Caenorhabditis elegans: one gene and its partners. The protein of the gene in region 3 interacts with the protein of the main gene of each other region in a pairwise test. Each region holds a gene or a part of one and is shown on either strand. Other genes may lie near its edges.

Evidence for each region.
Region 1: the proteins of myo-3 (region 3) and hmp-1 interact in a two-hybrid assay, tested with the Caenorhabditis elegans proteins (one study listed by BioGRID).
Region 2: the proteins of myo-3 (region 3) and unc-98 interact in a two-hybrid assay, tested with the Caenorhabditis elegans proteins (one study listed by BioGRID).

What each region holds. Positions count from the first base shown.
Region 1 is NC_003283.11:11,841,310-11,853,974, reverse strand, and holds hmp-1 (Vinculin), read right to left. Parts: upstream 8,099-12,665; 5' UTR 8,098-8,098; coding exon 7,714-8,097; intron 7,670-7,713; coding exon 7,214-7,669; intron 7,168-7,213; coding exon 6,964-7,167; intron 6,892-6,963; exon of another isoform or gene 6,669-6,891; intron 6,569-6,668; coding exon 6,038-6,568; intron 5,936-6,037; coding exon 5,108-5,935; intron 4,625-5,107; coding exon 4,484-4,624; coding exon of another isoform or gene 4,436-4,483; exon of another isoform or gene 4,187-4,435; coding exon of another isoform or gene 4,079-4,186; exon of another isoform or gene 3,195-4,078; coding exon 3,094-3,194; intron 2,353-3,093; coding exon 2,205-2,352; 3' UTR 1,810-2,204; downstream 1-1,809. Other genes in the region: nphp-4 (uncharacterized protein), read left to right, coding at 10,350-10,475, 10,524-10,652, 10,697-10,778, 11,173-11,248, 11,298-11,488, 11,538-11,725, 11,895-12,031, 12,093-12,665. UniProt on the Caenorhabditis elegans protein: Required for cell migration during body enclosure and cell shape changes during body elongation. Required for proper localization of other junctional components, such as pac-1.
Region 2 is NC_003284.9:7,569,478-7,579,551, forward strand, and holds unc-98 (Zinc finger protein unc-98), read right to left. Parts: upstream 4,113-10,074; 5' UTR 4,098-4,112; coding exon 4,074-4,097; intron 4,026-4,073; coding exon 3,948-4,025; intron 3,858-3,947; coding exon 3,747-3,857; intron 3,517-3,746; coding exon 3,448-3,516; intron 2,900-3,447; coding exon of another isoform or gene 2,880-2,899; intron 2,659-2,879; coding exon 2,524-2,658; intron 2,482-2,523; coding exon 2,299-2,481; intron 1,496-2,298; coding exon 1,163-1,495; 3' UTR 897-1,162; downstream 1-896. Other genes in the region: Apyrase apy-1, read right to left, coding at 1-86, 133-243; pcyt-1 (Putative choline-phosphate cytidylyltransferase), read left to right, coding at 2,880-2,899, 9,291-9,499, 9,763-9,879, 9,929-10,074. UniProt on the Caenorhabditis elegans protein: Probable transcription factor required for muscle structure.
Region 3 is NC_003283.11:12,228,810-12,238,348, reverse strand, and holds the start of myo-3 (Myosin-3), read left to right. Parts: upstream 1-4,005; 5' UTR 4,006-4,048; coding exon 4,049-4,184; intron 4,185-4,568; exon of another isoform or gene 4,569-4,704; intron 4,705-4,759; exon of another isoform or gene 4,760-4,952; intron 4,953-5,253; coding exon 5,254-5,465; intron 5,466-5,534; coding exon 5,535-5,691; intron 5,692-5,738; coding exon 5,739-6,038; intron 6,039-6,136; coding exon 6,137-6,665; intron 6,666-6,729; coding exon 6,730-9,539. UniProt on the Caenorhabditis elegans protein: Essential for muscle contraction. Involved in ovulation likely by regulating the contraction of gonadal myoepithelial sheath cells.

The DNA of each region.
Region 1 (12,665 bases), 390 kb from region 3:
ACTTCCACAAAAGCAGGGGGTCATTTTTTATTTATTACGAAATGAGCACGTGGTAAGTGCTCAAGGAAACAACAACTGTCTGGTTCAACTAAAATTGTACCGAAATAAAAATATTCTTATCTAACTAGTTAAGAAAACGGAAACTGATTACTGCGTTGATAACGAACGATATGAATAGAATTCGAAGAGGAGGAACTTCTCTTCCGGTTCAGTGTTTTTGGTCAGGCAGGTTTTATTAAATATCATTTACTATATATATAGCGCTTATTCCGTTTGTCCATAGTTTGTAGTCTATGTACTCTTTGTAGTCTGCGAAGTTTTAACTTCTGGAGAGATAGTGAGTTGGGGTTAGTGTAGGGATATAGTCGAGGTACTGTAGTGGTACAATGGTGGTACGGTAGGAGTACTGTATGATTACGGTAGTTTCAGAAAAAATGGTTTTCAGCTCCAGAAGTCGGGGGCCGCGCCGGAGGTGCGGTCCACGGCTGGTATTTAATATTTGGCTTAATGCGCTAATCGAATTTTAGTTTTACCAATATTTGTTATAGTTTTCGTGATAAACAGGAACAATAAGTAGACAAGACAACTTTTAAAAACACTGGAATAAGTCATAAAATAATTACTAGATAGATAAAATTCAAAATATTCAAAATTGAACAATAAGTTTGCTATGAGATTTAATGGAGTACAAACCTGGGTGTTCAATTTAAAATATGAGGATATCCAGATGAGAAATCTCAGTTTACTAAATAGATCAAGTGAGCAAGTTCTCTATAATGTGGCAAATTAAAATATCTTTAAAAAAACCCATTTTTCATATACAGGTATTTTTAAGGGTATTCAAAATAAGGAGACAATGATCAAACATAACTGATTTTTGAAATGTTGCGAGACCAGCGTTCTTCAGAAGAGCGCAATTGCATAAAACAGTCAGAGTTTCCTAATTCTAGCTAGACCTTTGGAAATCCGGGCAACACTTATTTTGGTAGAATGACGTCACTATATATCTTCTACATGATTGACTGTACCAAGTGGTCGTGACTTCGGAACACTCAAAAATGAGGCTGCCACATTTTGGAGATTTGTAGAGTTACTGTACTTTGTAACGTAGTTCTACTAACAAGTTTCTAAATAAGATGTTCTATGGTCATCCAAAACAATGACGAGAGACAAAAAACCAGCCAACTTTCGCCCCAAAATAATGAGACTAATAAGGACGCTGGAGCAAGATGAGCGTACAAAATAGTACTAATTAGTATTTGGGTCACCACCATCACTTTGTCTCTCGAAAGAAAAATAAGTTGAATATTCTAGAATCTCGTTGGAAATTCTGTAAGCAGCGTTCCATACACTTTAGGCACGCGATTTCCAGGATTTTTCTGCAGCAACAGCAGCAAAAAAAAAAACGGAAAACCCGGAGGCGTAAGCTTTCAGGAAATTAAAAAGTAACTCGCCGCGTGTGCAAACACGGAAATGCGCAGGAAATTAGGGAATTGAAATTGGGTCTTGAAGCGAAAACATGGGTGGCAATATGGGAATGTGTGAAAATAGTAGGGGATATCCATTTGGGAAGTCTCTCTTGAAGAAAAAAACAATTATGTCCTCCTCCCTTTCTGTTGCTAGTAGTCCAGGAGAAGAGAATAAGGGGAAAAGCAAAACGTAGTACAAATGAAGAAGGAGGCGAGGGTGGAAGGAGAGTTGTTGCACACACTTCCGTTTAGTACCAGCTGCTCGTAATGCTCAGGCACAACAATTTTGACGGTGCCAGATGTACGAGACCTTTTTGATGTCTATATACATAATAAAAATAGGAAAGAATTGAGTTCATCTAATTTGAAAAACTTGTGCACATAGATCAGGGAGTTTAGAAATCAGAATCATACAGAAAAAATCGTTGAAAGGGTGAGGTTGATAGTGCGAAAATAAATTGTAAAGATGTAAAGTTACCTGATTTTCAACAGTATGGATTATGATATTCATGGGGGAGAAAAATGAAAAATGCGGTGATAATGGTGGCGGTGATGAGCTGATAGAATTTAGAGCATTAAACAGAAATGAATACAAAAAATACACAGATACAAATTTCTAGCTGAAGAGAATTGAAAGAATGAGAAAATAATAAAGACTCGGGCATATAAAGGATGTGTGGAAAGATTTGGAAGGGAAAAGTATGAAGATACATGAATAAAACTGAAATAAATTATCTATAAACGACCGTTTATTCTTTGTTGATGCCGGCGATCAAGTTCCTCGTCGTCACTATCACGACCCGTCTCAATCTCGTTACGCGTAAACTCGGCGAGCACTTTAGCTGGTTGCAAAGGTCGCCGTTCGGATGCCCGTCTGCAAACTCTTTATAACATTAGTCGGCGTTCGTTGAATACATCTTTTGAAAGGGGGATTCTAATTAATTTTCTGTAATGGAATAGATAATGATCAAGAATTAGTGATCACCTATCACGGGAACACCAACTTCTGAGTATGCGTATTGCACAACATATTTTTGACGAGCAAAATATCTCGTAGCGAAAACTACAGTAATTATTGTAATGACTACTGTAGCGCTTGTGTCGATTTACGGGGTGCATCTCAAAATCGTAAAATTTAGTTTAATAGGTTTAAAAAATGTCTGAAATCTTATCAAAAATTTTTTCAGGGGGGGAAAATTTTCTGAAAGAAAAGAAAAATTGTGTTTTTTGATGCTTTAAAACTTTCATTTCAATGTCCGAAATCATCCAACTATTCATCACTTTTTATGAACATTGTCGCTTTTTTTTTGCTTTCCGAAAACTCAATTTGCATTTATGATCCTCAAGGGATACACTTTTGCTCAACAAGTCAAGAATATACATTTTGGTGTCGCAGCTCTTTCGGCTTTCACCACTTTTACCACAAAAAAAGGGACTTGGGACTACTGACAATGGCAGCTACGTGCCATTTTCTGGTGGCAGTGCTATTTTTTATGAATTATTCAGGGACCGACTACTTTTTTTCACATGGCTTCTCAATGAAGTGTGTCATATGTCCTTTTGCAGGCAAAGGAAACACTTATAGAGGGATCCTTGATTCAAAAAAAATAGATGAAAACGTTACCTGATTATAGCATTATTCTTTTGTGGTCGAATTAGTGGTTGTTTCTTTGGTGGAGCCATTCGCCACTCGACACGTACACTGTTGGCATTAGGACGACGGAACTGCAAGAATAAGGATGAGTTTCAGGAAGTTATCAGCAAAGAATTCCAAGCATTCGAGCAATTTAAGAAAATGAAACCAACAGCAAACAACATCGAGACACTTTTCATCAACAATAACACATATTTTACGTTCGTATCAATTTCTTTCAAGTTTTTTTTTCAACTTAATCTTCTTTTCTTAGTTAAAGTTGCAATACAATCTAGTTTAAAATGTATGAGTTTTTTACGGGGGAGTATAAGATCACAAGACCGACATATTGGGGGATCGATGTCCACACATCAAGACCGATACAATGCATTTTTAGAAAGTTAAATGTTTTTTTGTTGGGAAAACGATTTTTAAGTGTGAAGGGAAAATAAGAAAGGGATGTCCTTACCAATTTGAATTAACATATTTAACTGGAATTGTTTTCTTTTTTTTGGAATATAATGAAAATTAATTTGTATTTTCTAGGATTCAGGAAATCTATAAAAATCTGAGATTTTGCTTTTAATTTTTGGCTAAATTCCATGTTTGAATTCGCACCAAACTGAGAGAATTCAAATAGGGAATCGCCAAAAATTGAAAAATCTGATTTTCGAAAATTCGACATTTCATTCTTTCTCTTTTTTGGGTATTTCTGAGAATCAAACTATTCTGGATTTTTTTAAAGCAAAATCCCTACTCCATTAAAAAAAAATCGTCAAACATTAATAGTCTTAACCACTGATTTGAACTCAAGACATAAGCTTTTTTTAACTATAAAAAATATTTACCATTAAATTACGCAGCAGCCAACGTAAATTTTGAGAAAAAAGCAAAAAATTAAATTCGACATGCTCAATATCTCTTTTTCTCAAAAACAACATCGATAAAACCACACAACACGATATTTAATGCTTTCTCATTTTTTCTCACCAGATTCATCCATCGGACTTTCATAATTAATAGCTTTGTGAGCATCGCTAAGCGCAACGGCTGATTCGACTCGAGCACGTTCGCGTTGTGCACACTATTGAGAATGTTTTTTTTTTTTTTTAATTTTATTTATTTAATTTTCTAAAACTTTTGGGTACACTTTCTAAAATCTCAAAATTCAGTGTACAAAAGGCAACTGGTCTATTGGCACTTTAAACCACGTGTCTACTCAAAAGAGTGGGCGAAATACCATCTGATTTGAAATGAATTACGTAAGCAGCCGTTATCGTCTGTACGAAAAAAGAAATGTGTGATAAATGCTGGAAAGCAATAGTATCAGACATCAAGTGGGAATAATAATTAATGTTTTGTTTAAAGAAAGGGAACCAACCTTGGTACTGGCAATGTATGCAGCTTTAACAGTCTGTACAACAGCAGTTAAAAGATTTCGAGCCGTTTGAATAAGAGACATTGCAGAGTCAAGTGCAGATACGACAAGCTCATTTCCAACTTGAGTCACATCAGCTTTCACCTGAAATATTACTTTCTATTAAAAGTTTAAAGTTATATTTCACATGGTTTTTTGAAAGCAATTTAAACAAAACTTATTTATAGTAAGTATATGAACAATTTTCTAGTATAAGTGAGGCCAATCACAATTTTTTTTTCATTTTTCATGGCTTCAGTCTAGAGCTTGGTTCGCAAAAAAAACGCGAAGTAAAATTATATCTCTACTGAAATCGTTAAAAACAGTTGAAACCTCTTTTGGTGAAATATCACACTATCTATAAGTTTTTTTTTTTAATTCTCAATTTTTTCAAAAACTTTTCAGATAATTCTGAAAAATACGAGATTCTTTTCAGTTTTAGTTTTTATAGACGCGTTTTTAATTGTGAATCTTTACAATTTTCTTGAAAAACTAATTTGACAAATTTAAAAAACCCCCGAAACAAACAATTGACCAAAAACATTTGGTACGCTTTTACAGCTCGTGGCACCAATTAAAAAAACTCACCTTACTACAAATATTCAGTTGCTGACAATATAGAGTGATTTGTGACAAATATGCGAGCAAATCCTTTTTCGTCTGCGAATCAGCACTTTCTTCTCCAATCTGCCGTGCCAATGCATTTAGTTTTGATCCATTAAGTGAGATTTCTTGTGCTGCTCGGATAACATCCATTGTCGTTTTCAATGGCCCACAACCTCTTGTGAATTCTGTCATACTCATCATAATCTTACACATATTATTGGCCAATGATATAATATCATTTCCTGTTTCATCCCACTTGGCAACTTCTCTTTCGAATCGTGTTTGTGTTACTTTGAAGATATCAATTTGTGCTTGAATTTTCTTTTTCTCTTCTTCTGGCAATCGTCTCATCAGATTCTGTTGATTTTCTTGTTCGGATATCGTACGATTAGCATCTGCATTTGCTGCACCAACACCATCAGCTTCATACTCTACATCCGAATCAACATCATTCATACTTCGGTTCATTAAAAGTGCATGTCGAATGTCTTTAACTGCATCGTGAACTAATGTACAAGCATTGATAAATTCATTCATTTCTTCTTCCTTTGTTTTTGGATCCCATGTAAGTCCGTGTGCTTCTTGACGGTTGGCTAAAGCGCTCGCACGCTCAGCGAATTGATCTACACGTTGAGTTTTCAAAATCCGAACAGCTTGCTTAACAGTTTCAGTGTATTCAGAGTTCTGAAGGAAGTCCATTTCAGCATCGACAACGTCACAGACTCGGAGAGCTCGTCCACGTATCGATCCGGCAGCACAGTCGACAGTTTCACAGTTGGCCGCATTTTCATCCGGTGTTGAAGCGTTTGCCTGGAAAATTCAGTTTGAACGTCTCAAAAGTTGACGAATTTAGCGAAAACTATTTTTGTTAATTTTCATTAAATTTAAAATTTTGAGAACTAAAATACTTACCGTGATACCTTTGATTCCCCGCTCACAGTCTTCAACAATATGTGCTTCACTGACAGCCAAAAAGTCGTCCAAAGTAGTGATATTGTCAAGAGCAGTCGTTAACAATCTCACTTTGTCAAACCAAGCATTTTTATAGGTTTCCATGTTCTCTTGAGCAGTTTTTGAAGTAGGTTGATGGCAAAGTAAGATGGCAGCTTGAGCAACTTGTGGAGCAAGTTTTTCAAGTTGAGCAGCCGTATGCTGAATGACACTAACACTTTCAACATCTGATGAAAGTTGACAAGAAAGACGAGCAACTGAAACAATTTCATTTGCATGCTCTTGGAACATCTTTGAACGATATCTTGTATTCTCTTCATGGCCTTCTTTAGCAGCTTCTATCAGTAAAATAAGCGGTGTACGGGTATCCAGGAAAGCATCACTTATATGATCTACAATTGCACGACGAAGGTGTCGCCGGAGATCTTTTGTTCTTTTGTGTACTTCTGCGATTCCAAGAGGAATATCATCATTATCATCTCTTCGGCCGGTCTGAAAAATTACAGATTTAAAACATAGTTAAACAGGTCGTAATAAGCTTTAAATTTTATTGTAAAAACTTTGTAGTCTCTATATTTTCTACTACTACAAATTTTTTAAAGAATTTCCCCGAAATTCTAAAAAAAACATTTTCCATGTCTGAACTCGCGGTGGTCATTTTTTTTTCTAAAAAACGGCTTTAGTTCGAGTTCGGTTAACAAACAAAAACAGTTGTTCTCGCCCTGAGGGACAAGGCGTCACACTTGAAAGAACGCACGATTGTTTGTTTGTTTGTTCTCACCGTCTCCATCGCCCTTTTGTGAAAAAGATGCGCTTCTTTGAATGTTTTTTATTTCTTTTTATTTTAAACGAGGCAACAAGTCAAGAGATCAATAGAAAAAACTTACAGATTTTTCATATTCGGTCAAAAGTTCTTGAAGAGCTTGCCGCAAATTATTGCATTCAGCAACAATTTTTTGTTTTCGATTTTCACGAGTGCTTTCAGCATCGGCAATTGAAGCAGAACCACTAACAATTCGTTCACAATGTCCTTCAAGATCTGGACGATCAGTTCCTCGACGATAATGGGCTGGATCAATTTCGATTCGATTCTTAAAATAAATTATTTGTCTTATTATTTGAAATTTTTAAACTCACTTGAAAAGTATCGATTTCATTGATAAGATCGCCTATTCTTCCATATTCAGAAAATGTTACTTTCGGTTGTTGTCCGTTTAAAACAGATTCAAGAGCATTTAAAGCAGAATGCATTTCATCTGCAGTGTAATCACGATTTCTTCGAGCTTCTTCATGTTCTGGATGTCTTACAAATGTTCGTGTTGAAGTATACAGAAGTGGTGCAGTCTGTCGAAGTGCTGATCTTGCTGCTAGAAGATCATCTCTCTGATTTGGTTTAACCAAATCAATGGCTCGTCGTCGAACAGTGATATCAAGTTCTTCGATTTGAGAAATGAGAAGATTGTACAAATCATCTACTTTGATTTTTGTATCCGCTTCAATCATTTGGTGTGCAGTTTCTCGAACTTCATCTACTTTATCAACTATCACTTTTACATCAATCGAGTCGGCAAGAATTAGGAATTTAGCGACAGCCTGAATACAACATTTTTCAGTTAAAAGAGTACCTAAAAACTTACAGTCAACAAATTTCTACCAGAATTCGTTGCAATAGCTCGTTTGTTTGTTGAAGTTGAATCTCTGACAAAATCTCTTCCAGTTTGAATCATCACTTGCCCAGTATCTTGAACTGCTCCAAGAGCTTCGTGCAATAAATCAATTGCGCGTGGATCACTGTTTGCAATTGGGCATTTCGAAATTGCAAAGCTTCCCGTTTGAAGAAAATTAGCAACGGCAGCATCAAGAGTGGCGACAAGTCCTTCAGTAGTTTGTCCAGGTTTTAACGGAAACGTTTCAGTGATGTTGGTCACTTCATTGATTAATTGAGTAATTTGTTTCAAAACATTTTTCGAGCGCACTTCGTCGATGTTGAAATACGCATGAGAATTGCCATTCGCAGGCATTCTGAAAATTAATAAAATTGAAAATTCAGATTAGAATGCAAATAAAACGAAGAGAAATAATATTTATATTGAGATGAAATCAAAAAATATAAAAAGAAATACATAACCTTACATTAAAGTATCGATTAGAACTACTGTTAGATTTGAAGGCGCACGATAAAGAAGGGGTGGTTGGTCTCAAAGAGATCCAAGAGGGTACTGTCACCGTTAAACTTTATTGGCAAACACAGAATTTACTTATTCTTTGAGAAAATGACTCATATAAAATAAAAATCTTTACTCTAACTTTTCAAAAATTAAAAATTAAATTTTCAATGAAAAAAATAAAAAATCCTTTCGCAAAATAGCGAGAAACAAGTGTGGTGGGGCCTGTGAGGCCTTTCGGGTGTTTACTCAACGAAAAAACAAAACAATTAATAGGGGATTATGTTTCACATGCCGGCAATTTAGGAAATAACTATTTTTTAAATAAAATTTAAGAAAAAAACAAATTCGAAAATTAAAATTTCGACCGAAAATGAAGAAACTTAGTTTTTATTTGCCATGTTGAATATATGTTTCACACTCAAAAATTTTCAAATAAAAAAGTTGCGAAGCCAAAAAGTCACAAAAAGCAAACTTTTGAGGTATTTGCGAGTGAGAAGTGAATATGGTGAAAACGATGATTCCGCACCATCAACCGGTGTACGAAGACACTGTTAAATATAGAGAGAAAGAAGACACATAAAGAAATGATGATTCAGTCGGGTTGGCCGGTCGGTCAGTCAGCGGGTGACGAGTGAGCGGAGAGAAGGGTATAAGAACGGACGAGCGGCGGGAATAGAGGACGAAGAGGCAAGGACACTGGTCAATGGAGATGAAGAGACACAGACATTGGGACGGACGGAAGCAGGACGGTTCCCTTCGGGATGAGCAGAGACTCGACAGATGGAGAAGATGACCGAATTGAGTTTGTTTGCCCGACTCCCATGGATTATAAAATTGGGTACGTATGGCCTATGTTGGGGCAACTGCAGCAGCAGCGTGTGAGTGTGCGCCCCGGAAATAAAGGACTTTTATGGAAGGAGTATTGAGAAGATGATGGAAAAGGGACAAAAAGTTTCCCTTTTGTTTTGACGTCTTCTACGTCTTATTCGGAGATTTCGAGGGATAATTCTGAGGGATATGGAAGGACAGTGAATTGATGCATCATCATCATATTCTTATATTGGGTATTGAAATTTAAATTTGAATACGACCGAAACAATTTCTCGTTTCAAAAAAGTGGAATCTGAGTCATAGAGAAGTCTGAATCACGTTTTGTACACGGCAGCAGCTGTTTGTAAACTTTGAATCGCGGGGGTGAACTGAAGTGAAAAAAAAGAAAAAAAACTAGGAAAAATCAGGGAAAGTACATTTTTGAGATTGCATTTTTCTGAGAACCTGAACTTTCTCAGATGATATCAACAACATTATTAATCACTGCAACACGATCTGTGCTATTGTAAAAATATGTTCAATAATAATTTGATTTAGAGTCTATTTTGTCCCAATTTTAAGAGGTTTCTCCTGTCTAAACTTTCATAGACAATTTACGGAAATCTAGTAACTGTTGCCGGCTTATTGAACTTTTTCACTGGAGTTACTAAGATACTTATAGAATTTTTACGAAGTGTGGCCAAGATGTTCCTCAATTCAGCTTGACCCCAGGTAGTAATTTTTAGGAACCTTTCCAGTTTACATTTAAAAAGTTTTGACCAATTAAAAAAAATTAGTTGTGAGTTGTTTCCAGAAAGGAACTGGAGTTTCTCATCCAAAGTGGCTAACCATACTTCGTGGAAAATTGTGATTTATATTTATTTAAAGGATAACGGCATCATTTCAACATTTCAAAATAGAAAAGTACTTAGTTTTCTGTAAAAAAATTTCGAAAAAAAAATCAAGTGATTTGATCTAATCTTGTTCTAACGACGACTCTCAATACAAAATGCAATAGCATAATCAAAACTATTCAGTATATAAACATTTCCCAACAATTTACACATTACATCAAATTAATGCTCAATATACGTAATCCAACGTGTTCCCAGCAGCTGGGACTTCTCATTTCCATGACAACCAGCACCCGCTCTCCAATTCGTATACTCCTTCTTTTCACTCTCTATCGTATTTCCTCTATCGTTCTTCTTGAACGTTTATTTTTTAGTTTCTATATATTATTGCCTAGAAACTAGCTGAAAATACTAAAGTTTGTGGTAACAAAGTCTCGAAAAATGTCGGTCAACGACTGGTATTCGTTGTTTCTGGCAAACCGGCCAGTTGAAATGAAACGTAATGTTTCGAGAGGAACTAAAGCTTTGTGTTATTCAATGTTCATTTCCAATTTGACATCTCCACAGGTATGTGTAAACGATATAATTAATTAATATATGATTTTAATACTTTAGCTGACTGAGAACATTCGATACCAGATTAGTGCTTTTTTATTCGACACGAAGACTTCTCAAATGTTTGGGAGGCAATGTAGAACAGAATGGATTCCAGCGAATAGTAATGGAACTTGTGTTTTTAATGAAGTAGAAATTGTACAAGTTTGTTTAATAACTGGAATATGTTGCAGACATTATATTTTTACTCAATTATAAACAGCAGAGATGTGCTTCTTATTCTTGAATTTGTGGAAGAAGGATCAGACGAAATAAGTAAGTTATTTAATTGTTAAATTTTTAAAGGAACATTTTAAATTTATTTATCATAATGTTTTATTGGCTTTTCATTCAAAATAATATTTGAAAATAGCTTTTTAGCTCCTATTTGTCTTTCAGTCATTATTTTTTTAAATAACTTCTCAATAATTCAGAGAATTTTCCGAATCATTATGACCATATGTTTCAAAATAATGCACAATTTAGTAAATTTATACTAACATAAGTTTTATATCACGATAAAATAAACTCGCATTAAAAATAAACATTTGGAAATCACTAATTGAAACATTTTTCTTCCTTGCATAGGGCAAATACAATAAATAAATTAGATTTTAAACTTTTCTAGATGGAAGAACATTCGAAAACCCGAAAAGTACAAAAATTACAGCGCCTGCCACAAGCGTTGGATGGTTTTCAACGCATATCGAGAAGAAAACGCCCGTAGAAATATCAAACACTAAAATGTGAGTTTTTTTAATTATTGCTCCAACATAATTTTTCTTATTACTTTAGTTTCGATATATTTGGTGGAACTCCAAAACTATTAATTTTTGATAAAGAAACAGTTTTAAAACCAGTTGGAAATGTTGAATGTACATACAACATATTCGAAATGCCACCCATATTCTTCCAATGTTTGCCTGAATTTTGCATTGTTTGCGACAAAGACATTATTCCTGGAATAATCAAAGACAGTTCTGATGGTTAGTTAACAAATATTCCTTTTTTTAATTTTTTAATGTTTTGTGTCAGAATGGTGGTTGAGCACGCCAAAAGAGATGCCAACAATTCCCGCTGCAATTGATGCAATTGTAATTCAATTCAAGAATAATGTACCTGAATTAGAAAAACAAATTACACATGATATTGAAAAAGAATGGGCATTGAAAGAAGGAGGAACTCTTAAACCAAAAGCAATCATAATGGATAGAAAATTGAGAGTGAGTTTTTTGGTGAAAAGTTGGCTAAAAACATGATATTTGCTGTTACACGGAAGGTGCAGTGAAACTTAGGAATCATTTTTACATTACTTTGAATTCGTCCAGGTTTTCAAATATTTTTGCAAGAAACAAGTAATCGTTTATCTTTTTATTTATACTTTATTATTAGATCGGAGTACACAATGGGTACACATATGTCACTGAACCATTCACAGTTGACTTGGAAATAATCTCCTCAAATGCTGGTGATACTCTAAGATCGCGAAAGAAACCTATTGACTTTGGGAAATCATCAAATTGGGAAGAGTAAGTTTTAAAATCTTGTCCTGTCGTAAAAGAAGAATTTTTCATAATTTCATAATTTCAGACAACTGCTATTTCAAGCTGCTGGAAACCCGCGTCTGGCACTTCGAAATCTGTATGCGGATCCAAGAATGGCTATCATATTCTTGCTTGAATACACCTTTCACCGAGAAGACAATCAAAGCCTTAATCAGACTATTCTAATCGGATGGGCTGCATGGACTCCATTCTCAGATGGAGCCTTTTCTGGAAAAGAAGTGGAGACACGAGTTAGCTTTGTTGGTGGTCCACGTCCGAATCCAGAAGGCGTTTTATGTTATAAGAACGTATTGAATCAACCAGACTCCTTGAAGCCATTGAATGAGAAACTTGAAATTTTTGTGGACTTTAAATTTTATGAAAATGGAAGAAGTGTTCACAATACACCAACATCAAGAAGGGCTGCTGACTCTGCAAGAGTTCAAACTGGAAGATCAGGCGATAATGGCCAATCTGCTAGATCAAATAGAAAATCAGTGAAAATAGAAACTCCTAGAAGTCCAGAAAATTCGAATAGATTCCCTGCACTAGTAGATACAGGAAGATCAGTTTCATCAGTAGATGAATTGAGATCAATAAATGAGGATTTGAATAGATT
Region 2 (10,074 bases), on a different chromosome or scaffold from region 3:
TCCAAATCGGTGATCAACATTATTGAGTATTCTTTTGCTCCATCATCAAACTTCTTTACCGAATACAAGTTAGCATGGTTGATGTGCTGTAAATGGATATGTGCGCAATCAGCTGAAAATGTAAAGAGTTACCTCTTCCTGTTCGCTAGATTTGTTGAATTGGGTACCCGAATAAAAGGCAATAGCGGTCACAAACCCGAAAAGAAGGAAGTTGAAAAAGTTTGAGTTACTTTCTTGTGTCATACCTAAAAATTATTTTTGTGAGTCTTAATTATAAGCATTAATTGAAAGTAAGAGATTTGAGAAAATATAAGTAGAATAAAAAAATAAAAAATGGTGTAGTTTTCCGAGAGTACTTCACGGCCGCGTGGCCTAGTTTTTTCAATGGGGACTCGATATTAATAACGAACACAAGTGCGTGTCCCAAATTGCATTTGCTTTATTGAGTGAGATATCGTGGCTGTGAAGTGGCAAAATATTTCGAGAACCGTTAATTAAACAATTTTATACATTTTTAAATAATGAATTCAAAATGATGCAAAATAAATTTAAAAAAACGTACAACTTCTAGAACAACGAACAATTGAGCTGTCTCGCTATCATCATCTTATCATTTTTGCTATCAAAAAATCGGTTGTGGGTTGTCGTAACACATCACAGAAGAAAGATTGATTGTGAGAGAGCCGGACAACATTTGTGCTAGCGGTCAATGTCTTTCCCGCTTAACATGGTCCCAATTGTACGATTGACCAGGAATCGATATTTCAGGGAAAGAAGAAAATACCAACAAGACATGACGAGAACAGTATTTATAGAGTGTGTCTGAGTGCGTTGGAAACACACGATTTTTGTGCTTTGTAGTCAATTGTAGTTTATGTTGAACACAAAACGAGTTTCTGCTGCTGACCGTCTTTATAACGAGCGTCTTAAAAATGTGAGGAAAAGACAAAATGACAAGAAATGAGAAAACGATAACACTAAAGAAAAACGTTGATTTAGTTGAAAGAAAGAAATATGAGTTATATGAAAGAACCATATCGAATATACATTTTGAAGGACAAATATTGTTAAAGCTAGCCGATGTTGAAATATATATATATTTTACAAGATCTGGATAGATTTAAATACTAAATTAGAAAAATTTTAAATACTCAGGGGTTGCTCAGAATCGCGGAGTCACGTATCCGCTTGTTCTTGGGAATAAATAGTAGCTTCTGGAATCAGTGTACCCAACTCCTTCCCTTCCCATCATATAACGAGATGCTCGAGGATTGAAGTACTTCTCTCCACGATGACTGTACATGTGATATGCAAGACCACGACTGTCAGAGTAGCTTTTCGAACAATATTCACAAATGTATGGTTTTGAACGAACGTCGTTGTACACTCGGAGTGGATGCTTCGGCTCGTATCCTTCAGTAACGAAAGCTGGCTGTGGAAGATCTTGCTCGGAGACCGGTAGGACTCGCTTCTTGCTTACTTTTATTGTGGTTGTCTGAAGTATTTCAAATTATATTGGTAATCTTCATTCTTCTCACAAATGTATTCCTTGTTAAAGTAAAAAAACGGTTTCGGCTTTTTTTCCGTGTGATTTTTAACAAAACCAAACGAACGAAATTTGAAATACTACTTCTCAAAAATTACTTAAAAACTTGTTTATGGGGGTTCAAAATTTTGAAAAGGCAATACCCAAATTTCAGTCAAAAACTCGAGTTGTTTCAATTTTTCCCAGTCACAAAGACTTAGGTAGCAAATTGTGGTAATTTTTGGTCCCTAATTGCTTGAAACGTATCTTCATTAACAAAACAACGTAAGGTAAACGACCAAAACATGTTTTTAAATTTGGAACTTTCTTCGGTTTCATAACTTCTGTTTCATAACGTTTTCTTTTTTTTGCACTGAAATTCCATCTGTTTAACAGTTGTGATGCAAGAAGTAAGTGCAGTCGTATCAAATTGCACCCTCTCACAGGCTATCAGCAATTTTTTTTTGTTGAGAAAAATATTTTTTTTACGTCAGAAAGCCAAGACACACAAAGTTTTTGTTCACAATTTTCTCACATCAAGGACTATGAAAACCAAATACAAAATTGAAAAGCGAATGGCTGGATGAAAAGGTTTTGATAGATTTTGAGTCGAAAGAACTGAAGAATAAAAAATCAAACATTAAAACAGCCATAGCTAGATTCTGTTGATTTTTTTCCGAGAAGTTCGTAATTCAGATTTTGTTTCAAAAAGCTCTACTGATTAGTAAAATCTAGTAAATTTATTATTTCTCAGATTTCTCAATTAGACAAACCTCTGGAGCACCTATCAATTCGAGTGGATCGTCCGTGTGCTTGTGATATAACATTTCCGTGTAAGAAAAGAACGTCCTTCCGCATTCACACTTGTACCCGTCAATTTCTGAGTGCTGAGCGGCATGATATTCCAGTTGGCAAGCAAATTCAAATGAGTCTCCGCATTTTCCACAGACATATGGCTGAAACAAAGAGTTTCTATAAGTAATCCAGCGAATGAAAACCTGTGAAACGTCATGTATTCTCTCGTGTGCACGGAGAGTGTTCATGAAGTTGAATGTGAGTCCGCAGAAACGACACTTGTAGAATACAAATCCGTTGTCATCTTTTTGCACACTAGTTCCGTCCTGACGCACTTCCTGCAATAATCACTTTTCATCGACTAAAAGAGTCTCTTTTTCATTTAACGCCTTCTTCATTCCCTCCCTTCTTCAGTTTTTCCTTCATCTTATATTTTTCTTCCTTTTATTCCCATTTCCCTCATTCTTTCACATTCAAGCTGTCAATGCTCACATCTATATTCCGCACATTTGGTTCGTGTGCTGAAAGTGAGCGCATCAACTTCAACAACAACAGCAAAATGTTTATTCACAAACAAGAGTAAGTCAACAATACCCATGTGAATTAGCTTGGGAAAGGAGAAGAATGGAAATGGATAGGTTGAAGGAAAAAAGCATAAGGAGCAGCAAGAAATTATATTCCAAGTTAGTATTTGAAAATGATAAGAGAAAAATAAAATCACAAACAACAAAAATCATAATTTGTTTTTTTTTCTTCTTAGCATCCTGCTGAGCTTTCTCTTCCAACAAATGTACAGGACATGGTTACTTCGACAATGGGCTAAATTTAAATTAAATTAGAACTGAGTTTGTCTTTGTGTATTCTGGCAAATAAGTTTTTACTAGTATGCTAATTATAAAATTAGAAAATAAAACCTTTTCTAAACTATCTAAAATTCAGCAAAAAATTAACAATTTCTCTCAAACAACTCAAAAAATATAGTTTCATTTTCTCCGGAAATTTTGCCTGTACAAACCTATAGACTACATTCCTAATCAATGTTTTTTTAATTAAAAATTATTCAAAGCACGAACTATTCAACAAAAAATGCACAAAAACACACACTTCATAAAAACAATAAAACAAACCTGTTGATCACTGCCATCCAAAGCACCGCCACTCGATTTTGTTGGAGTTTGAGCACTTGAACTTCCGACCTACAATAATTTACTTGATGCTTTTAAAATCAAATTAGGATGGCGCTGTTTTAAAGTATTTAAGCGTTTTCAGACACTATTCAGATAATTCAACATTTTTTCACTTGTATCCAAGGGTTGAAAAATGTCAGTATGAATCCAATCTTAAAAACATTTAAAAAAATTTGCCTTAAAACCTATCAAACATTTCAATCTCTGAAATTCTTTTTTTTAAATTTTACCAAACTCACATATGCTTCAACTGTTGGGGCAACAACTTTCATGATCTCTTTGGGCTTTTCCTTATTTCCATTTTCTGACGATTCTCCATTGATGCCGAAGGTTTCTAGACCATGAACCATCTGGAAGGTATTTTTTTAATCATTTCGCAATACAGACACCCCCGCGTTTTTCTCCGGTTTTTCCGTCATCTCTCGGTTTCTCTAACTCACTTCATTGTTCTTCACGGACATCTTGGCAAGATCACAGGCATTCATCAACTCTTCGAAGTCATCTCTTTCCTTTCTTGCCTAAAAAATTCAAATTTAAGTAAAGCTCACAGTGATCAAGAACAATACCTCTTTGAAGATGTCGTCATCCATTGTTGTATCTGGATATCAGCGGTTAGTCGTCGGAATGGGGGTGAAAATTGTCAGAGGGTAGAATGCTCGGTGTGGCTAGCTGGGGTGCTCAACACACAGTGTAAACTCAAGAGACTCGTCGCGATCGAAAAATGCGAGAAATCGCCTCTGCAATCTCTGGATCTGATGTGCTCTTTTGAAATGCTCCCGCTCTCTCATTTCCTTTCCTCGTTGGATGTTTTGCGGGACACTTCTGTGTCTGCAGTCTCCCTCAATCTTGCTCAACTGTCTTAAAGAAGAAAGAGATCTTGACGACACAAGTAAAAAAAGCGTCTAGATTGCAGTGCTCGACATAACTTCAAAGCGGAATCATGTTTCTGAAATGAATGGCACAGATGCTAGTGTTTGTGGGTGACATACATTTTGTGTAGTACGTTGAACACGTGCAAATGATTTGGAGATGTGGGTACAAACAAAAGAAAGAGTACTTTTTTTTTGAAATAATAATCGAAAAGGATCAACGAAGTTTATATTTTAGAAATTATTCAATATGAATTGTAAAAATATTAAATTACATACTGTAAAACTATTATTTGAAACTATGCAGGATTATGAAGCTATTGTTTTAAATGTGAAGCATCGGTCAGGGTGATTTTTTGTAATCACTCCTTTATACAGTGATAAATAATCTAAAATAATTTTGCTTTCAAAAAGGTAGTTATCATTCAGTTTTCACAAATCACAATCTTGGAACACGGCAAAAATAGTTTTTTCTACATACAAGTTTCATATTCTAACTATGATTTGATCATTTGTATATACATATATTGTAGACATTTAAAAAAATGCAGAATTGCTCTAATATTTTTCATAGGTTCAACTTATTCTAGTTGTGGCAATTTACCACAACTTTGAATGAAAATTCTCAAGAATCTAAACGGTTATGTGGGACTTTTATGACTTTTAATTGGAATAAACATTTTACTGGAGCTGCACCACCTTCTGGATTGATCGGATCTTTCTTTCATGCATCACAAGCGGGCTAAAAGTGCACCAATGTTGAAATTTTACACAACAAAAATGCATTTAATTGTTAAATTTTTAACAAGTATAAAGTAACCAGACCCTTTTTCATTAAAAAACAGTTTTCCGTATTTCCTCTATTAGTCTTGCAGCCTCTATTAGTCTTGCAGTCTCTAATAGTCTTGCATCCCTCTTTTTTCAAGACCAGTAGTACTTTGCGGAAACGTCAGCAAATTTGATATTTTTGAGAAAATAACCTAGAAAATGATCAAATAATTTATGAAATATTGCAAAAGTATATATTTTTATCGTTCAGCAAGCTATCGAGTTAAGTTTTCAACAAAAAATAGGTCATTTTTTCAAAGATGGGGCATTCGAAAACTAGTCTTGCAGCCTCTAATAGTCTTGCAACCCTACAGACCAATGGAAAATTAGTCTTGCATGCAAGACTAATAGAAGAAATACGGTATATGAAACAGTCTCACTACTCGGGCTAAATATAAAGTTTTAAAAGAGAACAAGCGACTCACTACGAAATTTGTTTTTTTTTTCCAGCACATTTTGAGTCAATACGTTTATACCACGAACCAATAGCCCTACTTTATAAAATCCTCTCTTGTCAGAAAAGCCGGACCTCCTAGATTTCCATACTTACTGTGTACTTGTGGCCTCACAAAAACTTCTTACATAAGTATCTTCCCTTATGGAACAGTAAAACTACATTATTACCGGTTAAACGTTCCCGCCCCGCCTTCGCAGCGTTTATTAGCTTTTTACCCCTTGATAAATTTCAAGGGGTAAAAAGCTAATAAACGAATAAATAAAAATTTAAAAAAACTGGTACATTTTAAAACGTTTTTATAGGATCAAATTATTGGTTCTTTTTTTAATACTACATTCGTTTTTAGTGTCAAATATTAATTTCATTTTGTGGGCAGAGGAACATTTTGAATATGAATTTAGAACAACGCACCATGTCTATATTTCCGGTTTCTTCGCGTTTATTATCAGAGAATTACCTGAAATCCATCACACTCGATATAAAATGCCTTAATTCATAACTTTTAAATTCAAATGACAAATTCTATCTATTTTTATTACCAAGTAACAGTCAACATATTTTGTCTAGTCCGTCAATGAAAACATTCCAACTTTCCGTCTCAAGTTGATGAATAACTATGAAAATGATTTTTTTAAAATCACCTTTATCGTTTTCCAATCCGAAAATTAAACTTTCAATCCGAATTCCATCTTTTCCAATAAACGTGCATTACCGCAGTGGTGGCCGCTATCAAATGCTATGAAATCAGAGTAGTTCCAGAGTCCAGAGTCTCATTTTTCATTCTTTTCTCTTCTTCTCATAAACAACTAATTTCTCTCCCAGCAAACCACCCTAACATTTTCTGTAATGGTTCCTCTTGACTTTTGCTCTTAATGCACTACACCGACTCGGCACGTCATATTTTCATGGTAGAGAGAAACATGAAAAAATGAACACGAAGAATGACCTTTTTGTATAGTGATTCTTTGAGTTGTATCTTTATCAGTTGGCCTCAATTCTTTCGTGTCAAAGAGAAGAAAGTGTGGACAGATTGAGGGGAAAATGAGATAAGAGAACGTTTGGCAAGCAATAATGGATGGGTCAATGAAACCTCTAAGAGTACAGATCTATTGCGTCAATTATGGCATGAATCAAATCACCTCACTAACTTTCGTTTTTTACCTTTGTACCGTTGGGTTTGGAGTTGTAATGGGTGTTCAAGAATCCTAACACTAGGAGCAAAACTTCTATCAGAAAAGTTGTGTAATAAAAATTTATCTTGCCGTTTTTTTTCAATTAAACTTTTGAGCAGTTGGGGTCAACCAACGGAATCTTATATATTTGAAGAAACTTTGGTGGCTCTGCAATAAAATAATTTACAAGGTGAAGTATGTGTTGTTATGATTAATAGTGTTTTCCAAACGTTATCAATGTATTTATCATTGGTATATCACATCCATTCTTTGAAATCTATGATCACTTAAAATAGTTTTTCAAAAATTTTCTTTGACGCGTATTGTTGATAACAACAATGACAGTACCACTTTGGCAAACAAGACTAATGAGATAAATACTATATACCTATGTAAATAAATAAAGTTTATCCAAAATTATCGTTCATAACAAGTGCTTTTTAAGATGTGGAATTTAAGTTTAGTTTTAATCTGACAATTTGTGTTTTTTTATAAGTTTTTAGAAATGCAAATGAAACTGCTATCATAATTTTGACTTATCAATTAAAAAAACTTTGACGTAACAATTAAAAGGCACACGTTGTTTTTGGGTCTCGCCACGATCTTATTCATAATGACCGCGTCAGGTGCCAAATTCTACAGACTTGTTAAAAGTGAAGTAGCACCACTAGGGAAGTTGTTAAAACTACTTATAAGGTGTCAGTTTAATCCAATATCAAAGTAAAATTTTCAAAAAGTTGTTGAAAAGTTGTTATTTTGTTTTAAAATGATCTTTACTAATTTCTTGCCACTGTTTTGGTAGTCTTCGATCAAACAATTTTACATTGGTATTTTATAGTCTACTAAGTAAGTAAGTAAGTAAGTACTTATGTTTCAACATTAATTTCAAATACAAATATTAATATTCCCCCATTGTAGGGATTCGAACATGCGGCAGTCTATAGTTTTCTCAAAAAAAAGCAATATCAGTAACTCTCAATAAACCTTTTGTATATTTTTTCGAAAGGTTTCACTATGAAATTTTGTAATTTTTGCACAATTGAAGTGTTTTTTTAAGAATGTCCCTACTGGTGATACTCCACTGTTAACTGGATGTAGAAAAATGTTTATAAAACTTCCAATATCTAAAAGGCACCAGAAAGCCAAAATTTATATTTTCTGGCAAGAATAGACACAAACATTTCAATTCCTTAGACCTTCTCATAATTTCTTTAATGACTCATCTGTGACTTTCTTTTCTAATCGCGCATTCAAATCTTCTTCTTCATCTTTACCACCTCTCTCTCTCTCTCTCTCTCTCTTTGGCCCATCATTTCCCGTGGCCTCCATTTTTTTGTGCGTGGTGTCATTCGACCACACAAACAAACACAACGAATGTAGTAGTATAACCTGGTGGCTCATTGCCCAGATGGCTGTTCGCCGCGTGTTGCGCTCTGTTCGGCTGCCCTTCTGCTTGGTTTTTGTCGTCTTCTCAAGTTGTTTTGTTTTTTTTTCTTCTTTTCTCTGTGTCTCTCTGCTTCTTATCCTTACAGCGTCTTAATTATACGCTTTTTCGGAAGATGCTAAAAAACAAAAAATATAAATGCTAACATTTTTTCTTTAGTTGCCTGGGTCCCATCACTAGTTCTGTTTGCCCATGTGTCACATATTTTTTTTGCCATTTTCTCTTGTGTGTTGCGAAACTCGAAACAAACAACAAAGAATTAATGCATTAGCTGAGACATTTTTTTCCATTTATTGTTGTAGTTTTAGAGTTAAAATTATGCGTATAATGTTCACGTCAGATTTTAGATTTTCAAAGAGTTTGTCAACTCAAAAAAAAGTTTCAAAACTTAAAAAAAGCCTTTGTTAAGAAAAACTATTTTTCTGTGAAAACATCGCTTAAAAAGGGAACTCAAAAAAGCAAAAAAGCAATGTGCCACGTTCATCTTTTATGTTTCTTTTTCCGCTCCGTCCAGCGTCTTTTTTCCCCCCATTCGCCTTCTCCATCGACCCTTTCTAACACCGCTTCTTCCCTTATTTTCACTAGTTCTCTAATTCGAAAATTTTTGCACGCACTCTCCATTGGCACGTTTTGCGTGGCTTCAACTCACAGAATTTTAAATTTGTGACATCACTTCTTTAAAAATTTGCCCACGTGGCGTTGCACACTTTGTCAGGCTCGGCTTAGGTCGATTGTGAAACTTTGGAAGTAGAAAATGGTGCGATTTCTCTGAATCGCACGATAACCGAAGACTTTCGCCCTTGAGGCGTTGCGCTTATCAATTTTTTTTACGCCTTTTGATAAGTAGAACACACGTACTTCGCAATTTCGTGTGCTTCTCCAAATGAGAAAATAAAAAACCATGTCTACTCCCCCTTGTTTTCTAGTCTACACAAACTTTTGTGTTTCTATTTTGTTATTCGCTTCAAAATTAAATTCCTAACAAGTTTCATATTTAACCGTTGATCGTTCAGAAAGATGCCACAACGAAAGAGAACAATGGACTCACCACAAGAAGAAGATGTGGAGGTGAAGAAGAAGGCGACGGAAGTGGAGTACGTTGTCAGGTCGTTGGCATCAGATGAGCCAGCTCCATTTTCCGACGAGGCGTTGGCGATTACGACAAGAGAAGCGGTGGATTATTCAAAGAAAATAACTTTGGCAATGGCAGAAGCTAATGAGGGTGAGAATTTTTAATTTGAAAATATTATATTGGAATATACTTGAAATTTCTAATAGTAAAAAGGAAAATTAGCCATTTGCGAAAATTTGCGAGTTATAACTAGAAAATACCGTCTACGTTCTCGAAACATTTGAATATTAGAAAAAAAAGAGTGTGTGCACTTAAAGAGTACAGAAGTTGCCACGACTCTCTATTACTCAGTTTTTCTTCGTTTTTTCTCTTTATTTGCTTCAAAAATATCTGTAGCTTTCTGTAACTTACAGCTGGCCGACCTGTGCGAATTTATGCTGATGGAATTTATGATCTGTTCCATCATGGGCATGCGAATCAACTTCGCCAAGTGAAGAAAATGTTCCCAAATGTCTACCTTATTGTTGGAGGTTTGATTTTTTAATCTTTTTCAATTATGATTTTCATTTCAAATTTCAGTTTGTGGTGATCGCGACACTCACAAGTACAAAGGAAGAACAGTCACTTCAGAAGAAGAACGTTACGATGGTGTTCGGCACTGTCGGTACGTTGATGAAGTCTACAGAGAGGCTCCATGGTTTTGTACTGTCGAGTTTTTGAAAAAC
Region 3 (9,539 bases):
TGCTTTGCAAAATTGTATTGCAGCAATCACGACGTCCGCATACTGTAATGCCACGTATCTTGCACATTGATAATATCCACCACAGTTTGTAGACATCATACCTAAACATATACCATAGTTTTCAAAAATAATTTCAAAACGAACAGTTAACAGCTGTAACCAAGGTCATAGCCCACCAGCGATGAGCTTCATCAACAAATCCAACGATTCCAAATAGAATAGACACAATACCACATGATATAAAATTGAAAATTAGCATTTTAGTACGAGGACTAATAAATGTAACTTTATCACTAATATACGCAGCGAGTAATTTGAAAGGGATCTGTGCAAAATTGGTTATACTGATAATAAATCCAGTTTGTTCGATTGTAAATTTCAAAACTTGATTGAAATATATTGGAGAGTAGGTTATCAGAAGGATTGACATTGATAAATCCATGAAAGCATTGAACCAGCAACAAATTATTGCCGGATTCTTTATCATTGCAAAGTATGGTATTATTCTGAAGTTTCGGCTGGTTATACGTTTTTGATAAACTAATACCTTTTAGTTTCATAATGTTCAAGTGATTTTCCATCTTGAATATGTTCCAATTCTCGAGTCCCAACAAATCGATGAGTCGCTGGATTATCCGAATAAAAAAACCCATAAAATAAAACAGATAACACTAGCAATCGAGTGTACGTAAAATGAAGATTCCCATCCAAAAGATGTTGTGCAGAACTAAAATATGGGAAACTGAACAATTAGTGAATTAGTTCTTCCCACTTATGCTGCCTTTAGTAAGTAATAAAAATTCAAAACTTTAAATTTTATACTAATTCTAGTGAACCTACCCATCCCGTTAACGAATCCGTAATTGAGGTGGCAAACGGTGAGAATATCGTTAGAGCAGAGACGAAAAATGCGTTCTCGTCAAGCGGAGCCCATTTCATACAAATTATTCCAATAACTGCAAAGTCTGCTGCATAAGAAATTCCTTGAAAAAATCGAATGATTAAAAGTAGATAGAAGTTGGTTGAAGCCATTGTGGGAATTAATACAGTCGATATAAATGAGAGAATTCCAGCCGAGAGAAATGTGAACCTATTGGAATAATGTTAATATGTATTAGAAATTACTTCCAAAAATATTTACCTTGCTCCAAATTTAACATAGCACCAATTATATGGAACAGTTCCTAGTACAGTTCCAATTGCTACCGCCCATATTATTTCTGCTTTTTCATCACTCGAATAGTCATAAATATTGTATTCAGTCTGGAAATAGGCGTTAACTTTTTTTTGATTCAGTAACTTACTCCATTTGGAGATGTCCTAATACCAGATGAGTCATTCTTCATACAAATGAATGTAAAATTTATGACTGTATAGTTCGAAAATATACTCATTAGACAGAAAAATGCAACAAACATAATTAAAAATCGAAATATTGGAATATCTTTTACCATTGTAGGCAATCAGTCAAACCGAATAAAAAAATAAATTCTCAATTACTTCTCCATTCTGAACTATTTGAACTGTTTGATGAAAACCAATGAAACAAGTGATTATAGTCTCTGTTTTCGTTAATTTTGAATTTTGCTTGATAAGGCTGCAACAAAGATCAGGTTGACATATATTTTCAGTAATTTATTTTAACCTGTACTCTATCACTGCCGGCTATAATAAGTTCTTGAATAAAATAATTTTCCCGACAAAACATGAGTATTTCTTTCGAAAATAAAAGTGCAGGCTAATTAGAGATTATTCTGTAATTAACTGCATAATTTGTCACGTGCCATAGTTTTACATTCCACTACGTCATAGTTCTTAAAATACTAATCTCCTGAAAATAGAAGTAGGTGAAGAAAGTTTAATTATCAGTTCTAAAATGACAATTGATCTTTGGAATATGTTCTGAAACTACCGATCATTGAACAGATGCTATTTGAATGATATAGAATTGTATATTTGCAATTTCTGAAACGCGTTCTTAAAGGCACACAGATTAATTCAAAAGGGTCTGGCCGCAAAAAGGTTTATGGTGGCCGATTTTGAGTTTTGTGTGTGATTGCTTTTTCACAATCAGTGTTTTCAGGATTATGTGATGAACTAGATCTTCAAGTTTCGTTACATTTCATATGTTTTCGGAACTCACGAAGTACATATTGGGTATTGTGCTCAAAAAATTCAGCAATCAGCTTCGCTCCGCTGACTTTAGAACCCAAAAAAATAGTATGGCCAAACTGACTGTGTTACGATCATTTCAATTTTTCAATACATATTTAAGATTTCTAAGAGTAAGAAGGTCAAAAACTGTTCTGGAATACATATATATTTTTCAGGTTACAATTAGTCAAAAAGTGCACTGAAATATACGTTTTAATTTCACGAATAACCCAATTAGTTCAATGTATTTTTGGTCAACCAACGTTAAAGTTTGGCTTCCAACCAATTATCATTTCTGATCAACCACAATGTTTTTTCTTTATCTGCAAGTTAATTTTTTATTTTTATCCAGATGTTTGGCATATTTTTCAATTCTTCACTAGCGCCCACTTCTTGCACTTCCGGCGCCCTGAATCTAATGCATCTGTTGCAAGAATTGAAAGACCAATCAACACATTGTTTTCTTCACGAGATACTGAAGAAAATGAATAAAAACAGAGAAAAAGAGCCATGTGATTAGTGACAACTGTTGCTAACAGATACCATAGCTTGGACTTGGTACGTGATGGCAACGTATGGGTCAACAAAAATGATTGCAGAGGGGGTGCAAAACAGTCAAGTCGAGAAAATATGAAAAACAGAAAACAAAGAACAGAAAAATGGGTTTGAGAGTCAGTATAATTTATAAAAGAAAAATTGTACATAGAAATTAACCATTTTTGTAGAAGAAGTTATTTTTCAAGCATCGTTAAAAATTATTCAAAGCACCTTATTTCATATTTAATTTTAAACATGGTTAAATGAACAACACGGTGCGCAATCAGGAAAACTTGAAATCTGAAACTGTTGTTGTGATCTTCTTCGCAACTGTTCAGATAGCACTAGTGTAATGTTAAGAGTGCGCGAATATAATGGAATATAATGGATCACACCTCCTGCCATCAGGTAAACGTCTCTGTTATCACATATTTCCAACTATTAAATTTTTACCTTTTACAGTTTTACATTTTTTTGAAAAAAGTAACTTTTTGTCTTCAAAATCCCTGACGAAAATATCAAATATTTTAATCGAGACTGCAGAGGAACCGATTGATGATTTGGAAAATCCAGCTTTACCTGTGTAAGAACTGAAAAGTTTCATAACCCTAGGGTATTCCCAGTTACATTCCCCACTGGCTAACAATAGCACCCAGTTTTTCATCACCTTTCTTCAAATTTCTCGGCGATTTGTTAAAAACAAAATTTGTGTCCCTTCTCTGATATCTCTATGTCTCTAAACACAAGTTCATCGGAAAACGAAGGAGGGTAGGTGTTGGTTGGGCTCCCGAAGTGAAAATAGAAGAGCAAGAATAGAATATTAGAGAGAGAGTGCAGAGAGGGCGGGATAGCTCCCGGGATTCCGTTTTCTTCTTCTTTATCTTCAACGATGATGTGTGTGCGTGTTGTATAGATTCTGTTGCTCCCCCACAACTCGCTCCGAAGGCTCAATACAATTCAATTGATATTGGAGGAGAGCCTACCGGAGTGGGAGGATAAGAAGAAACATAAGAAGAAGAAGAAGAAGAAGCATGCTTCTGGTTTTTGATGCTATGAAAACGGCACAAAAAGATGATTGAGGTCCCTTTTCAATACCTTCTCTCATCTTTCAAATCCCATTGAAACCTAAAACTTCTCACCACGCTTTACCATTGTTCTCCAAAAACTTATAGCAATGTCTATAACTTTTTTATCTCTGAAAAGCAGTGTTCCATTTTTCTTTTTCCTATTTTATTTCAATTGTTTCTCACATTTCGTTTGGATTCTTTGCTTGTCAACCAGCTTCTTCTTCCACTTTTACCGTCTAATTTTCAGGGCAGGGAGCCATCAAACCCACGACCACTAGATCCATCTAGAAATGTCTGGAAATCCAGACGCATTCGAAAATGATCCAGGATTCCCATTCTTGGGAATCTCGAGAGAGGCCAGAGCTGCCACTGCTGCTCGTCCTTTTGATTCCAAGAAGAACTGCTGGATTCCGGATCCAGAAGATGGTAAGTCTTGATTTCGAATTGAAAATTTTAAAGAAAAATTTTGAACCACGTGCTGTAATATTTGGCAAGAATATTTTCCCATAATTTTAATAGTAACTGTGATATGTTCTAATTTTAGAAATCAGTTGTCAACGCTAAAAATGTAAGGGTTACAATAGTGGTATTGCAAAGAGTTATGATGGTTAAGTTTGTAAATACTTTTTTTCTGTTAATGAAACTAATTTGGATACAAATTTTTCATTTGATCTAAACAGAACATCTTAATCAAAAAACACTTTAAAACTCTTGCTTTGATATTGTTTGTTCAATTTCCTAATTCTTACCAAACCAATTCAAGCTAACTTTCATTATGTCCATTCCATTAACAAAAACTATTATTACACCTTCTCTCTCATCGCCAGTGTCCACATTCATCCTACTCTCCTACGCTTTCATCTGTGTCTCTCAGATCTGCATTTTATCTATGATACATCACACTTTCCACCGACCCCGCCGGGCAACCAGTGGTGGCGGATTTTTGAACATCTGAGGTTCTCTCATCTCTCGGTCATCTGATGAAGCACATACACACATACACACAACGGCACTTTGTAATCTTTCCGGAGAAGCGGGCAGGCACACACGTACGCTATGAAGCCGGAGCAAGAGCTTCTCCTGCCGTTTGAACTGCGGCTTCTGCTGTTGGCAGGAAAGATGATGAGATTTCTTGGAATTTAAGATTGAGATATTTGACGTCCCACATTTTATGGATGGACAACAATATGTACATGTTTTGAAGATTTAATATTGAAATGTGGATATGAAATCGGAATTTAAAAAGTCAAGGTCAATAAAATGGTAATTCTGACCAGATCTATTATTCGAGGATGACAAATAAAACTAGGATTAAATCAAAAATACTAAATTTGAAAATGAAAAAGAAAAGATTGTTCTATAACTTATAAATCTCACAATAATGATTTTTGTACAGAAACAAAAACTAAATGACATAATCGAATAAAACATTCTGATTTTAATCAGCCGCATGCGACAAAACATATATTTCTTGGAGGCTAATATTAAATTTCAGGATTCGTCGCCGCCGAGATCCAATCCACCACCGGCGAACAGGTGACCGTGGTAACTGTGAAGGGAAACCAGATTACCGTCAAAAAAGATCAATGCCAAGAGATGAACCCGCCAAAATTCGACAAGACCGAGGATATGGCTAACTTGACCTTTTTGAATGAGGCCTCTGTTTTGGGAAATCTCAAGGATCGTTACAAGGATTTGATGATTTACGTAAGGAAATTGAAACTATTCAAAAAAAAAATTAATACTATTCAAAAATTGAACCGACTTAATTTTCAGACATACTCCGGACTTTTCTGTGTTGTAATCAATCCATACAAACGTCTTCCAATCTACAGTGAATCTGTAATCAAGCACTTCATGGGAAAGAGACGTAATGAGATGCCACCTCATTTGTTCGCTGTCTCTGATGAAGCTTACCGTAACATGGTTCAAGGTATGTGAAAATTTAATTGTTTTAGAACTTTATTTTTCAAATTTCAGACAAGGAGAACCAGTCTATGCTCATCACCGGAGAATCTGGAGCTGGAAAGACTGAGAACACCAAGAAGGTTATCTCCTACTTCGCTATTGTTGGAGCCACGCAAGCTGCTTCCGGCAAAGAAGCCAAGGATGGAAAGAAGGGAGGTACTCTTGAAGAGCAAATTGTGCAAACGAACCCTGTGTTGGAGGCTTTCGGTAATGCTAAAACTGTCAGAAACAACAACTCTTCCCGTTTCGGAAAGTTCATCAGAACTCATTTCTCTGGATCTGGAAAGTTGGCTGGAGGAGATATTGAACACTGTGAGTGATCTTTTATGATTAGTTTTTAAGAAAAAATGAGATTGGAGGAATTTAAATTGAAACTAGTGAAACCATTCAAAAAAGAAAAATATTTTCAGATCTTCTCGAAAAATCTCGTGTCGTCCGTCAGGCACCAGGAGAGCGTTGTTATCACATCTTCTACCAGATTATGTCTGGAAACGATCCAAGTCTCCGTGGAAAGCTTAAGCTTAGCAACGACATCACTTACTATCACTTCTGCTCGCAGGCCGAGCTTACCATCGAAGGAATGGATGATAAGGAGGAGATGAGACTTACTCAGGAAGCTTTCGATATCATGGGATTCGAAGACAACGAGACTATGGATCTTTACCGTTCCACTGCTGGAATTATGCACATGGGAGAAATGAAATTCAAGCAGCGTCCACGTGAAGAGCAAGCCGAGCCAGACGGTGAGGAAGATGCTCTCAACGCTGCTGCCATGCTCGGAATCCAAGCTGAGGAGTTCCTCAAGGCTTTGACCAAGCCACGTGTCCGTGTCGGAACCGAATGGGTCAATAAGGGACAGAACTTGGAACAGGTCAACTGGGCCGTTTCTGGACTTGCCAAGGCTATCTATGCCCGTATGTTCAAGTGGATCATCACCAGGTAAATAACAAAGAGCAAATATTTTTAATTAGGGTAAATATTATTCTACTTATTTTACTTTTAGATGTAACAAGACCCTTGACGCAAAGGAGATTGAGCGTAAGCATTTCATCGGAGTGCTTGATATCGCTGGATTCGAAATCTTCGACTTGAACTCTTTTGAACAGCTCTGGATCAACTTTGTCAACGAACGTCTTCAACAATTCTTCAACCATCACATGTTCGTTCTTGAACAAGAAGAATACAAGCGTGAAGGAATTGCCTGGACCTTCATCGATTTCGGACTTGATCTTCAAGCCTGTATTGAGCTTATTGAGAAACCACTCGGTATCATCTCTATTCTTGATGAGGAGTGTATCGTTCCAAAGGCCACTGATATGACCTATGCTCAGAAGCTTCTTGATCAACATCTTGGAAAACATCCAAACTTCCAGAAGCCAAAGCCACCAAAGGGAAAGCAGGGAGATGCTCACTTCGCTATTGTTCACTACGCTGGAACTGTCCGTTACAACGCCACCAACTTCCTCGAGAAGAACAAGGATCCTCTCAACGACACCGCTGTCGCTCTTCTCAAGCACTCTACCGACAACTCCTTGATGTTGGATATCTGGCAAGACTACCAGACTCAAGAAGAGGCTGCCGAGGCTGCTAAAGCCGGACAGACTGCAGGAGGAAAGCGTGGAAAATCATCTTCATTCGCTACCGTCTCTATGATCTACAGAGAGTCTCTCAACAACTTGATGAACATGCTTTATCAAACTCACCCACATTTCATCCGTTGTATCATTCCAAACGAGAAGAAGGCTTCTGGAGTTATTGACTCTGCGCTTGTTCTTAACCAGCTTACATGCAACGGAGTGTTGGAAGGAATCAGAATTTGCCGTAAGGGATTCCCCAACAGAATGCTCTATCCAGATTTCAAGCATCGTTACGCTATCCTTGCCGCTGATGCCGCTAAGGAATCTGATCCAAAGAAGGCTTCCGTCGGAATCCTTGACAAGATCTCTGTTGATGGAAACTTGACCGATGAAGAGTTCAAGGTTGGAGAGACCAAGATCTTCTTCAAGGCCGGAGTTCTTGCTAAGCTTGAGGACTTGCGTGACGAGATTCTTTCTAGAATCGTTACCATGTTCCAATCCCGCATTCGTTCTTACCTTGCCAAGGCCGAAGTTCGTCGTCGTTACGAACAACAAACTGGATTGCTTGTTGTTCAACGCAATGTTCGTGCTTGGTGCACACTCAGAACCTGGGAATGGTTCAAGCTTTTCGGAAAGGTCAAGCCAATGCTCAAGGCCGGTAAGGAACAAGAAGCAATGGGAGAGCTTGCCGTAAAGATCCAAAAGCTCGAAGAAGCAGTTCAACGCGGAGAAATTGCTCGTTCCCAATTGGAATCCCAAGTTGCCGATTTGGTTGAAGAGAAGAACGCATTGTTCTTGAGCCTTGAAACTGAAAAGGCTAATCTTGCCGATGCTGAAGAAAGAAACGAGAAGCTCAACCAACTCAAGGCTACCCTTGAGAGCAAGCTGTCCGATATCACTGGACAACTTGAAGACATGCAAGAACGTAACGAGGATCTTGCTCGCCAAAAGAAGAAGACTGATCAAGAACTTTCTGATACCAAGAAGCATGTTCAAGATTTGGAGCTTTCTTTGAGAAAGGCTGAGCAGGAGAAGCAGAGCCGTGATCATAACATCCGCTCCCTTCAAGATGAGATGGCTAATCAAGATGAAGCTGTCGCAAAGCTTAACAAGGAGAAGAAGCATCAAGAAGAATCCAACCGCAAATTGAACGAAGATCTTCAATCTGAAGAAGACAAGGTTAACCATCTTGAGAAGATCCGCAACAAGCTCGAGCAACAAATGGATGAGCTCGAGGAAAATATTGACCGCGAGAAGAGATCTCGTGGTGATATTGAAAAGGCAAAGAGAAAGGTCGAGGGAGACTTGAAGGTTGCGCAAGAGAACATCGATGAGATTACCAAGCAGAAGCATGACGTTGAAACTACTTTGAAGAGAAAGGAAGAAGATCTTCACCACACCAATGCTAAGCTCGCTGAGAACAACTCTATCATTGCTAAGCTTCAACGGCTTATCAAGGAGCTCACTGCTAGAAATGCCGAACTCGAAGAAGAACTTGAAGCCGAGAGAAACTCTCGCCAGAAATCTGATAGATCCCGTAGCGAGGCTGAACGCGAGTTGGAAGAACTCACCGAAAGATTGGAGCAACAAGGAGGAGCCACTGCTGCGCAACTTGAAGCCAACAAGAAACGTGAAGCTGAAATTGCCAAGCTTCGCCGTGAGAAGGAAGAAGATTCGTTGAACCACGAAACTGCCATTTCTTCCCTCCGTAAGCGTCATGGAGATTCCGTTGCCGAACTTACGGAACAGCTTGAGACTCTGCAAAAGCTCAAAGCCAAGTCAGAAGCTGAGAAATCTAAGCTTCAACGTGATCTTGAGGAATCCCAACATGCCACTGACAGCGAAGTTCGCTCTCGCCAAGATCTCGAGAAAGCCTTGAAGACCATTGAAGTTCAATACTCTGAGCTCCAAACTAAGGCCGATGAGCAATCGAGACAACTTCAAGACTTTGCTGCTCTCAAGAACCGTCTTAACAACGAGAATAGTGATTTGAACCGCTCTCTCGAAGAAATGGACAATCAATTGAACTCTCTTCACCGCTTGAAATCAACTCTTCAATCCCAACTCGATGAGACTCGTCGCAACTATGATGAAGAAAGCCGTGAACGTCAAGCTCTTGCTGCCACAGCCAAGAATTTGGAACACGAGAACACTATTCTCCGCGAGCATCTTGACGAAGAAGCTGAATCAAAGGCTGATTTGACTCGCCAAATCAGCAAGCTCAATGCTGAAATTC